3 linked regions of the Cricetulus griseus genome follow. The protein of the gene in region 1 purifies or fractionates together with the protein of each later gene. This does not show direct contact. Links are inferred from orthologs where the notes say so. Each region holds a gene or a part of one and is shown on either strand. Other genes may lie near its edges. The genes, in order: Ewsr1, Ddx17 and Dhx9.

Region 1 (3,651 bases):
ACGGGGGGTTATAACCAGCCCAGCCTAGGATATGGACAGAGTAACTACAGTTACCCCCAGGTACCTGGGAGCTACCCCATGCAGCCAGTCACCGCGCCTCCATCCTATCCTCCTACCAGGTCAGTCTCTCCTTTGTGGCCAGTGAGTAATATAACAAGACAGGGATTTGGTTTTGGGTTGTTGACCAGCTAGCATTGGCTTCCTTGGGTAAGATTTGTTTTCTGACTCTCCCATAGCTATTCTTGACCATATATATAGTTAATATTCAGATCTCAGTCTTAGATTTCCATAGTAGTGTCATGGAGCTGTCTAAATACTGACCAAAACTTATTTTTGCTCCTGTAATTAGAAGTATAAGAAAAAGGAGTGTTTGACACCATCTTCACAGAACCACAGAAACTGTCTTCTCAAATGCAATCACCATGGGTAAAGTAGGGACAAGACTTTCCTCCCTACCACCCATTGCAGTGCCTGGGGAATCCAGGGTTTTGTTTTGTTCATTACTAGGCAGATCCTCTACCTCTGAACTACTCCAGCTCAAGCTCTGTTGTTCTTCATATTCTGTCTTAAATTAGCCATCATAGTTACAATGTCCAATTTTGGTTTCTTTAAAATAAGGGATACTGCAGATTTTCTCATTTGAAGTAAGTACCAGTTGACAGGGTTGTGTCTTTAAAGGTTAGTTTAATTTGCTAAAATAGTTCCTGATTATCTGTTTAATGGTTTAACACATTGCTTGTAACTAGAAACAAAAGTGGTCAGGGTTGGCCTTGCGTGGGTGGCCCACACCTTTAATCCCAGCACTTGGGAGGCAGAGGCAGGCGGATCTCTGTGAGTTTTAGTCCAGCCTGGTCTACAAGAGCTAGTTCTAGGACAGCCTCCAAAGCTACAGAGAAACCCTGTCTCAAAACCAGTCCCCCCTTCCAAAAAAAAAAAAAAAAAAGTGGACAGGGAACTGTCCTTGGAGAGCAGACCCATACCTGTTGGGTTTTAACATTTGTGGAGAGGTATAACAAATAGTTTAGTTGCACATATTTATGGTTCATTGAAAGTCTTTATTTTGGTTTTTGCTTTTATTTTTTCCTAGACAGCCTTTCTCTGTGTAGCCCTGGCTCTTCTGGAATTTGCTCTGTAGATCAAGCTGGCCTTGAACTCAGAGATCCACCTGCCTCTGCCTTCTGAGTGCTGGGATTAAAGGCATGCACCCCCACCACCCAGCTAAGTTTTATTTTTAATAGTTTATGTAGATACTTAGATTACCTGCTAGATAGTTTCACAGAAACCTAGCATCTTTTATACAGCATTCTAACATTTCCTTGTCTTGTCTTATTCCTAGATTTCTAAGGATGTTTGAAAGTTTGAAACATTAGCAAAGCCATTTTGAGTCTGAAAGAAAAACTGTCATTTGGGGAGTGACATATATGTGCGCACTGTATTACCAATAGCCATGCCTCAGAAAATCAGTCATCACTTAACTTATTAGATGACTGGAGTAGAACACTTGATAGTGTGTGAAGGTCTAGTTTGGACCCTTGGTGCTGCAAAAAGAAAGGAAGACATTCTTGGAAGTAAACACCTCACTTGTCCTTTCAGTGTCATTTTTCACTGTATTAGTTGTCTCTAAGTGCACGTGTACATATTCTGTCCATCTGAATTCCTGGATTTACTTAAACATAGTTGAAAATAAACATTTTAAATGGGAGCTCTAAACTGCAGCTCTGAGTATACATGCGGGTTTTTTTTTTTTTCCTCTCTTCCATTTAAAGCTTTGTTATTATAAATACAAAAATGGTGCCTTGGCCAGATACAGTGATGTATGCCTTTAATCCAGCACTCAGGAAGCTAGGGCAAGAGAGTTGTGTGCAGATGAAAGAACAGCCTGGGCTACAAATAGTGAGACCCCTCTCAATGATAGAAAAAAGAAAGTGGCTGTTACGATACCCATGAATGTCTAGTATTTGGGGGTCTTGGGTGAAATGATGTGCTTTTTTTCCTTCTGAAAACATGTTTGTTTTTTTTCCCTTTCAGCTACTCCTCTTCACAGCCGACTAGTTACGATCAGAGCAGTTACTCTCAGCAGAACACCTATGGACAGCCGAGCAGCTATGGACAGCAGAGTAGCTATGGTCAACAAAGCAGCTATGGACAGCAGCCTCCCACTAGTTACCCCCCTCAGACTGGATCCTACAACCAGGCTCCAAGTCAATATAGTCAACAGAGCAGCAGCTACGGGCAGCAGAGTGAGTTGCTAAGAGAGATAACCAAGTATTAGTGGTTGTGCTTGGAGAGTCTGAAAACGGGGAGGGCTTGTTACCACTGTTTGCTTCCAGGATACAAGTATGAGGCATAACATCCTGGACAACAGTCTGAATGCCCCAGTAGGGGATTCAGTCAATGGGGTGGGTACTCGGCAGTGGATAGGGCTGGCATTCTTTAGGACCTATTGAGGGCTACTGTGGTTTCTGATAGCCAAGTAAAAACTCTGTGCTTTGATTTTGTGTGAATCCATTAAGCAGAGGGAGTAAGTTGTTACAGACAACTGTTTGGGGGTATTTTTAAAACTTTTACAGTTGATGGGGGTAGAACTGATTTTTGTTTTCTGCTGGGGATTGAGCCCAGGGTCTTAGCATAAGTTCTGCCATGAAGCCCCAGTGCTTATATTTACATATAAGTAAATTAGAGAAGTAACTAAAACCCCTGAAGTATATTAGTTTACTATTTAATTTCTGCCTCAATTTTTGCTTTTTGGTTGGTTGGTTTGGTTTGGTTTGGGGGGCAGGGTTTCTCTGTGTAACCCTGGCTGTCCTTTTTTATTTCATCTGTGTGCTTTTTTTTTTTTTGAACTGGAATGACTAAGGCTCCTTGCTATATCTCAGCCCTTAGCATGTCAGAGATTTAGAAAACCTGGGTCTACTTTTGTTTCTGGAAGGTAGGGCAAAGAAACTGCTTTTGGGGACATCCTGGACACACAAACTTATGAATGTATTTTTTCCAGGGCATCTTTTCCCTTTGGAAGTAGTTTATTATAGTCTGGCTATACGAGGCTGTGTTAGCCCTGATGAACCAATTGTTCTTTAAGGCAGCCTTCAGCTTAGTACATACACAGTCGCTTACAGTTGAGAACTTCATGATTCCAAGAGAAAGGATGTCAGGCAGTAGTGTAAATGTGGTCCATGGCTTACAGATGTGACTCTTTCCTCAGGTTCATTCCGACAGGACCACCCCAGTAGCATGGGTGTTTATGGGCAGGAGTCTGGAGGATTTTCCGGACCAGGAGAGAACCGGAGCATGAGTGGCCCTGATAACCGGGGCAGGGGAAGAGGGGGATTTGATCGTGGAGGCATGAGCAGAGGTGGGCGGGGAGGAGGACGCGGTGGAATGGGGTAAGAGCAAACCTTTTCTCCTTTTACCTAATTTTGCTTCATCCATAGGATTTTCAATGGGAAGAAGGGACTGAAAGACATAAGAAATTTATTCCACATTTCCATGGACAATCTGTTGAGGTCAAGCTATCTTCTAAAACATGGAAATGTCATATAAGTGGCAGTTTGCTTTTTTCCCTGCCAGTAGCCTTTGTTGGGTTGGGGTGAGCAAAGAATGGCTTTGAAACTAGAGCTTTCAGTCCCCTTCATGGTGTTCAGAGGTGAGAAC
Region 2 (3,651 bases), on another chromosome or scaffold:
TATATAACAACTGTCTGTAACTCCACTTCCAGGGGATTAAATGCCCTCTTCTGGTCTCCATGGCACCAAACACTCCCCAACCCCCGGGGAAAACACCCATAAACGTTTTTTTTTTTGTTTTTTGAAGATAGGGTTTCTCTGCGCAGCTTTGGAGTCTATCCTGGCACTTGCTCTGGAGACCAGGCTGGCTTTGAACTCACAGAGATCTGCCTGCCTCTGCCTCCCAAGTGCTGGGATTAAAGGCATGCACCACCAACACCCGGCTCCATAATTTTTTTTTTAAAAAAGTAATTAAATTGGGTTTTAGGCACAGTGCCTAAAACAACTTATCATTCAATGTAGTTATTTTTAAAAATTATAAATTGTAGCACACTTACAATTGGACCATCTCCTCTTTCCAAGTATGGCTGGTGGTTTATATGAACAATCGCAGGCAGCAAATACTGAGGAGGAACAAGAATCAAAAATGTCATAAAAACCCAAGCCATTATCGTAACGATTCTAATTTAAATCAGTAATTAACAATGCCCTAATAGAAAGTGAGAAAACTAGAACATATTACCACATTCAAGTACAATGTAAACATACAGCTAAAATACTGAACATATAGTATTTTATTTTTTGGCCTTCTTGGGACAGTGTCTAACTATGTAGCTCTGGCTACCCTGGAACTTCACTGCATAGATCAAACTGGCTTCCAACTCAAAGGTCCATCTGCCTGTCTCTGCCTCCCAAGTACAGTCATTAAAGGTGTGCCCCACCATGCCCAGCTTTCACACAGTATTTTAACTGTGAGTCTAAGAACTGAGAAAATGTGAGCTGGGTATGATAGCTTACAACTTTAATCCCAGCCCTTGGGAGGCAGTAGGGACAGGCAGTTCTCTGGTTGGAGCTACCCGGTGAAACCCTATGGGGGGATGGGGGCGGGCAACATGGGACCAGAGAAAATGTAAGAAAACTAGGCTAATAAAGTAAGTTACTACAATGTCAAAGACTTGGTACCTACCGCCAATGTCTTCCCAGAACCAGTCTGTGCAATGCCAACCATATCCCGGCCACTAAGAGCCAAAGGAAATCCCTGGCACTGAATGGGAGTTGGTTCTGTAAAATGCTGATCCATCAGCACATCCATCACATACTCTGAAAAAAAGTGAATGCATTATTACTTTTACTAGCAAAACTAAGGACACTCATGAAGTCTTAAAAGTAGCAGTTAAGACTAGCAGTGGTGACACATACCTTTGGTCTTGAAATCCAAAAAAGTGGCAGTTACTTAATTTAAGACTTACTTGAATTTATCAAAAACTCAATGTCTTGTCAGTTCACTACTACCTTTGAGAACTACCATCCTAATTTAGCTAACAGCACAGGCCCAAGAGTCACTTACTGTTCCCAAAGTTCATACTATATCATAGAAGCAGTATTTGGCTGCTGTGTAAAACACCAAGGGCAAAATACCAGTGTACGTATTGGCATTAAAAGAAATGCAGAAACTGGGTAGTGGTGAAGCACACCAGCATTTGGGAGGCAGAGACAGGTGATCTCTTTTGAGTTCAAAGCCAGAGCTGTTACACAGAGAAACCCTGTCTCAAAAACAAAACAAAACAAGCCCAAAGCTGAGATGGCTCAGCTGTCAATAGTTCTTGCAGAATGAGTTTGTGAAGATCGGAGGAGAGCTTGGTGGAGCGGGCTTTCTCCTTTCTTGTTTATATGGGTTCCAAAGTCAGGACTTTCACCAATTGAGCCATTCTCATTCACACACACCCCACCCCCACCCCATTGGTTTCTCTGTGTAGCCCTGGATGTCCTGGAACTCACTCTGTAGACCAGGCTGGCCTCAAACTCAGGAGATCTGCCTGCTAAGTGCTAGAATTAAAGGTGTGAGCAATCACCGTCTGTCTACTACTATCTTTCCTTTATAAAAGGTTTCTTTTTGTGTTTCAACAAAATCCCAAGCCTTTCAAAACCTTCAAGCAACCTACCACTTAATGTAGGATTAAAGAACACTTACGTGGGAAATTAGCATGATGGAAGGCAAAGACAGGTTTTGGACAAACATCTCCCCCTCTCACTGTAATCTCTTTCTTTCGCCGCAGCTCATCAACTTCATACTATTGGGGGGGGGGGGGAAGAAAGACAATAAAAGCTCTTTTCAATTTAAAAGCTTTATTATCACACAATGATAAATATGAATACTTTTTACACAAGTTCAAGTTTGTGATGCACATGAGCAAAAGGCTCCATTTTCCATAGGAGAAAAACCTCTCAAGAGTAATTCCTAGCCAGGATAGGTAGTACTGTGTAATCCCAGTACAGCAGCAGAAGGATCAGCTCAAGTTCAAAGCTAACCATATCTACAAAACAATTCCAGACCAGTCAGGGTTACTTAGTGAGACAGTTTACTACAAACAGCTAACTTCTACTTAAAACTAGGAAGAGAATATGTGGAACTTGGGTCCAAATGCTCTTTCCATCATATAATTTTTCTGGACTAGCAATGATTTTCTGGGTAGAATACACTATCAGGTGTTAAAAGCACAAAGTTAATTTATTTTAAAAACTCATTTTATGAGGGTGTAGCTCAATGGTAGAGTTTAAGCTTTACAAGCACGTGGTGCTAGGTTTGAGCTCAGCACCGCTAAAAGAAAATTAGCTCAATGATTGATAACTTGCCTTTATGAACAAAGGTCAGGGTTTGACTGAAGAATATCACAAACCAAGTATGCCTACCCGTGCCTGAAAGTAACCCTGGCATTCATAAGCTGAAGTAGCAGGATAGCAAGTTAAAGGCCAGCCTAGAACTACATGGTGAGACCATACCACAAATAGAATAGTTTTAGCACATAAGAATCAAAACAAAATCCAAAGGTAAGCCAGCCACAGTGGTGTTTTTTAATCCCAGCATTCAGATGCAGGTGGATCTGAGTCTGGGGCCAGCTTGGCTACATAGTAGGTTCCAGGCCAGAGCTACAAATCAAGATCCTGTCTCAAAAAAAAAAAAAAAAAAAGAAAAGAAAAAGAAAACAAAACAACAACAAAAAACATAAACAAAAAACTTTAAAATACATTAAAATGAGCCGAGTGGTGGTGGCAACCAACTACCTTTCTTCCCATGGCTTGGGAGGCAGAGGCAGGAGACCTACAGAGTGAGTTGTTCCATCCAGGATAACAGTGACTATACAGAGAAACCATGTCTCAAAGAAGCAACAAGATAACAAACAAAAAACACAACACTGCCAGGCAGTGGTGGTGCACACCTTTAATCTCAGCACTTGGGGGGGGAAGAGGCAGGAAGATCTCATTAAGTACAAGGCCAGCCTGGTCTACAAAGTGAGTTCCAGGACAGCTAGGGCTGTTACACAGAGGAGCCCCCCCCCAATACAATACATGACAAAAAACAAACAAAAAACAAAAACACCACACCCCAAAGAGAAAACAAAAGACCTACAACATATTAAAAAGATCTGCCCTAATCTAAAATAAAATACACAAGCTGCTTTACACACCCCTACTCACCACCCCCCCTTCTTACCGGAGTCAATCTTGCTACTTCTGGATGTTCCACATAAAAATTCTTCTCAAACTTGGGGAGTTCACTCAAATCCCACTTCTTTTTACGTAACCGCTCCCCGGGATTACCAAACTTTTTCG
Region 3 (3,651 bases), on another chromosome or scaffold:
ATGACCCAATTCATTCCTCCTCCAAAGGACAAGAAGAAGAAAGATAAAGAAGAGGATGGTGGTGAAGATGATGATGTAAGTCGATTCCTCAGCACATCTACAGGAATGAGGAATGTTCATTGTGAGAATATTTGGAGAAGAAAATAAGTACTTTAAAGTATAGTATTAATTGGCAATGCATTGTCCTTTAAAAATTAATTGTGATATTCTTAGGTTAATGACTATTACTACACAGGTTATATAATTTCTGGCATAAAAGTCTTAGAACGCCTTTTCTAAAGACTCAGTCCTTTGTATTGTGTTTTTGTGTATCGGAGTACTAACTTCAGGTTTTTTTTTTGGTTTTTTTTTTTGTTGTTGTTGTTTTGTTTTTTTTATCTCACTTATCTATGGCCTCCTGGTCTTTTCAGGGTACCAGTGCCTATAGCCAATGAACCTCACAGAATCTTGTCCCAACCCAATTTGCTGTTCTGGGTATTGGTTTAAGCCAGGTTTTTCCACTTGGTAGACAAGCATGTTACCATAGATGGTTTTTAGATTTATACATTTAAAAGAAAATTTACATATTTGTGATGTTTGCCAGGGAGAGAAATCAGAAGACAACTCTCAGGGAGTGTCTTCTCCATTCACACTGGGTTCTGGGGATCACATTCAAGTTGTCTAACTTGTGGCAGGTACAGTTACACTTCCTTGCCAGTTATGTTTTCGGTTGAGACAGGGTTTGACTTCCAGGAAGATTTTGAACTTGTGGTGTGGTTCTCCTTTGTACTCCCAGATACCAGTTCTGACTGATCTATATTGTGACAACCAGAAATGTAGAAGTTTGACAGGGTTTCACTGTGGCTTTGGAGCCTATCCTGGCACTCCCTCTGTAGACCAGGATGGCCTCGAATTCAAAGACATCCGCCTGCCTCTGCCTCCCGAGTGCTGGGATTAAAGGTGTGGGCCACCAACTCCTGGCCTTAGGATAAGAATTTGAATTAAGATTTTCCATATTCAAAGCTAGACTGGGTTACAAAGGGGAATATGTGAATAATTAAAACTAAGCAGGTCGGGAAGACAGTTTCTGTAGTTTTCAAAAAAAATTAGGAAACTAATTAGAAGCATCACAGAATCATACTTAAAAGTTTTAAAGGCATAAATGGCTCATACTTTTAATCTCAGGGGGTGAAAAGGTAGACCGGTCTATATTCATGGATATCAGTCTTTTTCTGAAGATTTGCTTCCAGAGACACAGGAGCTAGAGCTCAAATTACAGATGGTTATAAGCTACCTGATGTGGGTGATAAATGAACTTGGGTACTTGCATGCCCGAAATTGTTTTGTCAGACTCTGTTTTTAGAGACAGGGTTTCTCTGTACCAGCCCTGGCTGAAATTCACTACCATAGATCAGCCTGACCTTGAACACAGATCCACATGTCTGTTCTGCCAGGCTTTCTTTTGGAAGACAACCAGCTCCCAAACCATGATGTGGAGACTTAGTAAATATTAGTTAGGAATGTTTGTCTTTACCTCCTGTTTGTTTCTTACTAACTCTTAGATCTGTTTGTCTTATGCTTTCATTGGGCCTTTTTACATTTCCTTTCCTTTTCTATGTCCTATTCAGTCTGAATGGCTGGCTGACATTAGGTGTTCTCTCTTGTGCAATTTCTCCTCCTCTTCAGATTCCTATTTATTATCTTGCCTGCCTAGCTATTGGCCATTCAGTTTTTTAATTAGACCAATCAGGTGCCTTCAGGAGGCAAGGAGAGACAGTGTCATTAAATGTAACATACCTTTACACAGTTAAAGTAATATTCTACTTTATGTATTGATCTCTTAATGAAAGTATGACTCTACCCTAGAGATAAGCAATATTGCTAGATATTACTTGCCTAGAAAAACTAAGTCTAAGAGATTAGAGCTATAATAATTATGGCAAATAAACTGCTTTCCCCTTTCTTGCAGGCAAATTGCAATCTAATATGTGCTGATGAATATGGGCCAGAAACAAAGTTGAGCATGTCCCAATTGAATGAAAAGGAAACTCCTTTTGAACTCATTGAAGCTCTCCTTAAGTACATCGAAACCCTTAATGTTCCTGGAGCTGTGTTGGTCTTTTTGCCTGGCTGGAATTTGATTTATACTATGCAAAAACATTTGGAAAACAATTCACATTTTGGTATGATGATGAATATTTTTACTTTTTTCCTGGCTAATATGTTGCTGTGTTTCAATGAGTATGTGTAATGGAGAACAGTATTTTAACTTGGTCTTACTTCTTATCCTTTCTGTATTGTAGGAAGTCATCGGTATCAGATTCTACCTCTGCATTCTCAGATTCCTCGGGAGGAACAGCGTAAAGTGTTTGATCCAGTACCAGATGGAGTAACCAAGGTAAAGAAGGCGTTTCAATGAGATCAGATAAACATTCAGAGAGCTAGAATATATATAATATATATATATATATATATATATATATATAATATATATATCACTTTCTTAGCTTGAGAGACTTTTCTTTTTACTCCTGTTCCTGAAATGCCTTGTATTGTGTGGTTGAATGATTCTCTGAACATTGGTGTGTTCATAAGTGGCATGTTTTCTGTGGTGTAATTTTTCTTTTAATTTTTCTTTTTGCAGGTTATTTTGTCCACAAATATTGCTGAAACAAGCATCACCATAAATGATGTTGTTTATGTTATTGACTCCTGCAAGTAAGTTCCTAGGGAATTAGTCTTTTGAGTGTATTAGCAGCTGACAAACTTTATCAATTAACCTTTTGTTAAATTTTCTTTTTAATGAGGTTTTATGTGTGTCAAGTGTTATGTCTGTACTAGTTGTGTGCCTGGTAGCCTTGGAGGCTAGAAGAGTGTATAAGGTACCAAAGAATTGGGATTGCAGATGTGTGAGCTGCCCTGTGGTGCTGAGAACTGGTCCTCAGGTCTTCTATAATACATACCCCCACTGACCAGCCCCTAATTGTGTTTCTCTTAAGGCTATTTGACTGTAGTCCAGGATCACCTCTGACTTGAGGTTTTTCTTATTCAAGTACTGGGGTTACTGTACTGCAGCTTCCGCCATCACACCTAGACTTTAACTTACCAAGGTTTACGCTTTTATACCCACACAAATGCCATGTGTGATTTCAGAGTACAGACAGCCAAAGTTTATCACTAACTTCTGACTTCATGTCAAAGGATTTACTTATTTATTCATTAGTTGTTTCCACAATGAACCTTTTATGCTCATTTTGTATATAAATACAGCAATTACTTAGCATGAGACAAGTAGTCTACTCGAAAAACATTCCTTTAAGAAGTTAGAACACTGCAGCCTGGTATTAACGGCATCTGTCAATCTTGCTTAAATAGTGCAACCCAGCCTCAAAAACTAAAAACTTATACCTATAATTGAGCCTTGGTCTATAGGTAGAGCCCAGCAATTTTGTAGAGGGCTGTAAAGAAAGCCTGCTTAGAGCTGGCTGTTAGTATTTAGGCATTTGTACTGACCTGTCATTGGAGTTCTGACAAGATACACCCTCAGTGGATGATGCTAAGAACATCACCTGTGCCTATTCGATATGTCCCCTCTTATTAAAATGGCCCTCCCCATCTCCCACTCTCTCTTTCTCCCCCACCTCTTTTTACTCTCTCCCACTGCAACAGTCC

Evidence for each region.
Region 2: the proteins of Ewsr1 (region 1) and Ddx17 purify together in Homo sapiens (affinity purification with mass spectrometry; 3 studies listed by BioGRID, with this or other methods). This does not show direct contact. The link is inferred for Cricetulus griseus from reciprocal best matches to the Homo sapiens genes EWSR1 and DDX17.
Region 3: the proteins of Ewsr1 (region 1) and Dhx9 purify together in Homo sapiens (affinity purification with mass spectrometry; 3 studies listed by BioGRID, with this or other methods). This does not show direct contact. The link is inferred for Cricetulus griseus from reciprocal best matches to the Homo sapiens genes EWSR1 and DHX9.

Annotation. Positions count from the first base shown.
Region 1 is NW_023276807.1:99,813,246-99,816,896, forward strand, and holds part of Ewsr1 (RNA-binding protein EWS), read left to right. Parts: coding exon 1-119; intron 120-2,028; coding exon 2,029-2,240; intron 2,241-3,202; coding exon 3,203-3,383; intron 3,384-3,651. UniProt on the Homo sapiens protein: Binds to ssRNA containing the consensus sequence 5'-AGGUAA-3'. Might normally function as a transcriptional repressor. EWS-fusion-proteins (EFPS) may play a role in the tumorigenic process.
Region 2 is NC_048595.1:376,711,597-376,715,247, forward strand, and holds part of Ddx17 (probable ATP-dependent RNA helicase DDX17), read right to left. Parts: coding exon 3,533-3,651; intron 2,112-3,532; coding exon 2,012-2,111; intron 1,141-2,011; coding exon 1,007-1,140; intron 444-1,006; coding exon 378-443; intron 1-377. UniProt on the Homo sapiens protein: As an RNA helicase, unwinds RNA and alters RNA structures through ATP binding and hydrolysis.
Region 3 is NC_048598.1:38,204,656-38,208,306, forward strand, and holds part of Dhx9 (ATP-dependent RNA helicase A), read left to right. Parts: coding exon 1-75; intron 76-1,948; coding exon 1,949-2,162; intron 2,163-2,282; coding exon 2,283-2,377; intron 2,378-2,623; coding exon 2,624-2,697; intron 2,698-3,651. UniProt on the Homo sapiens protein: Multifunctional ATP-dependent nucleic acid helicase that unwinds DNA and RNA in a 3' to 5' direction and that plays important roles in many processes, such as DNA replication, transcriptional activation, post-transcriptional RNA regulation, mRNA translation and RNA-mediated gene silencing.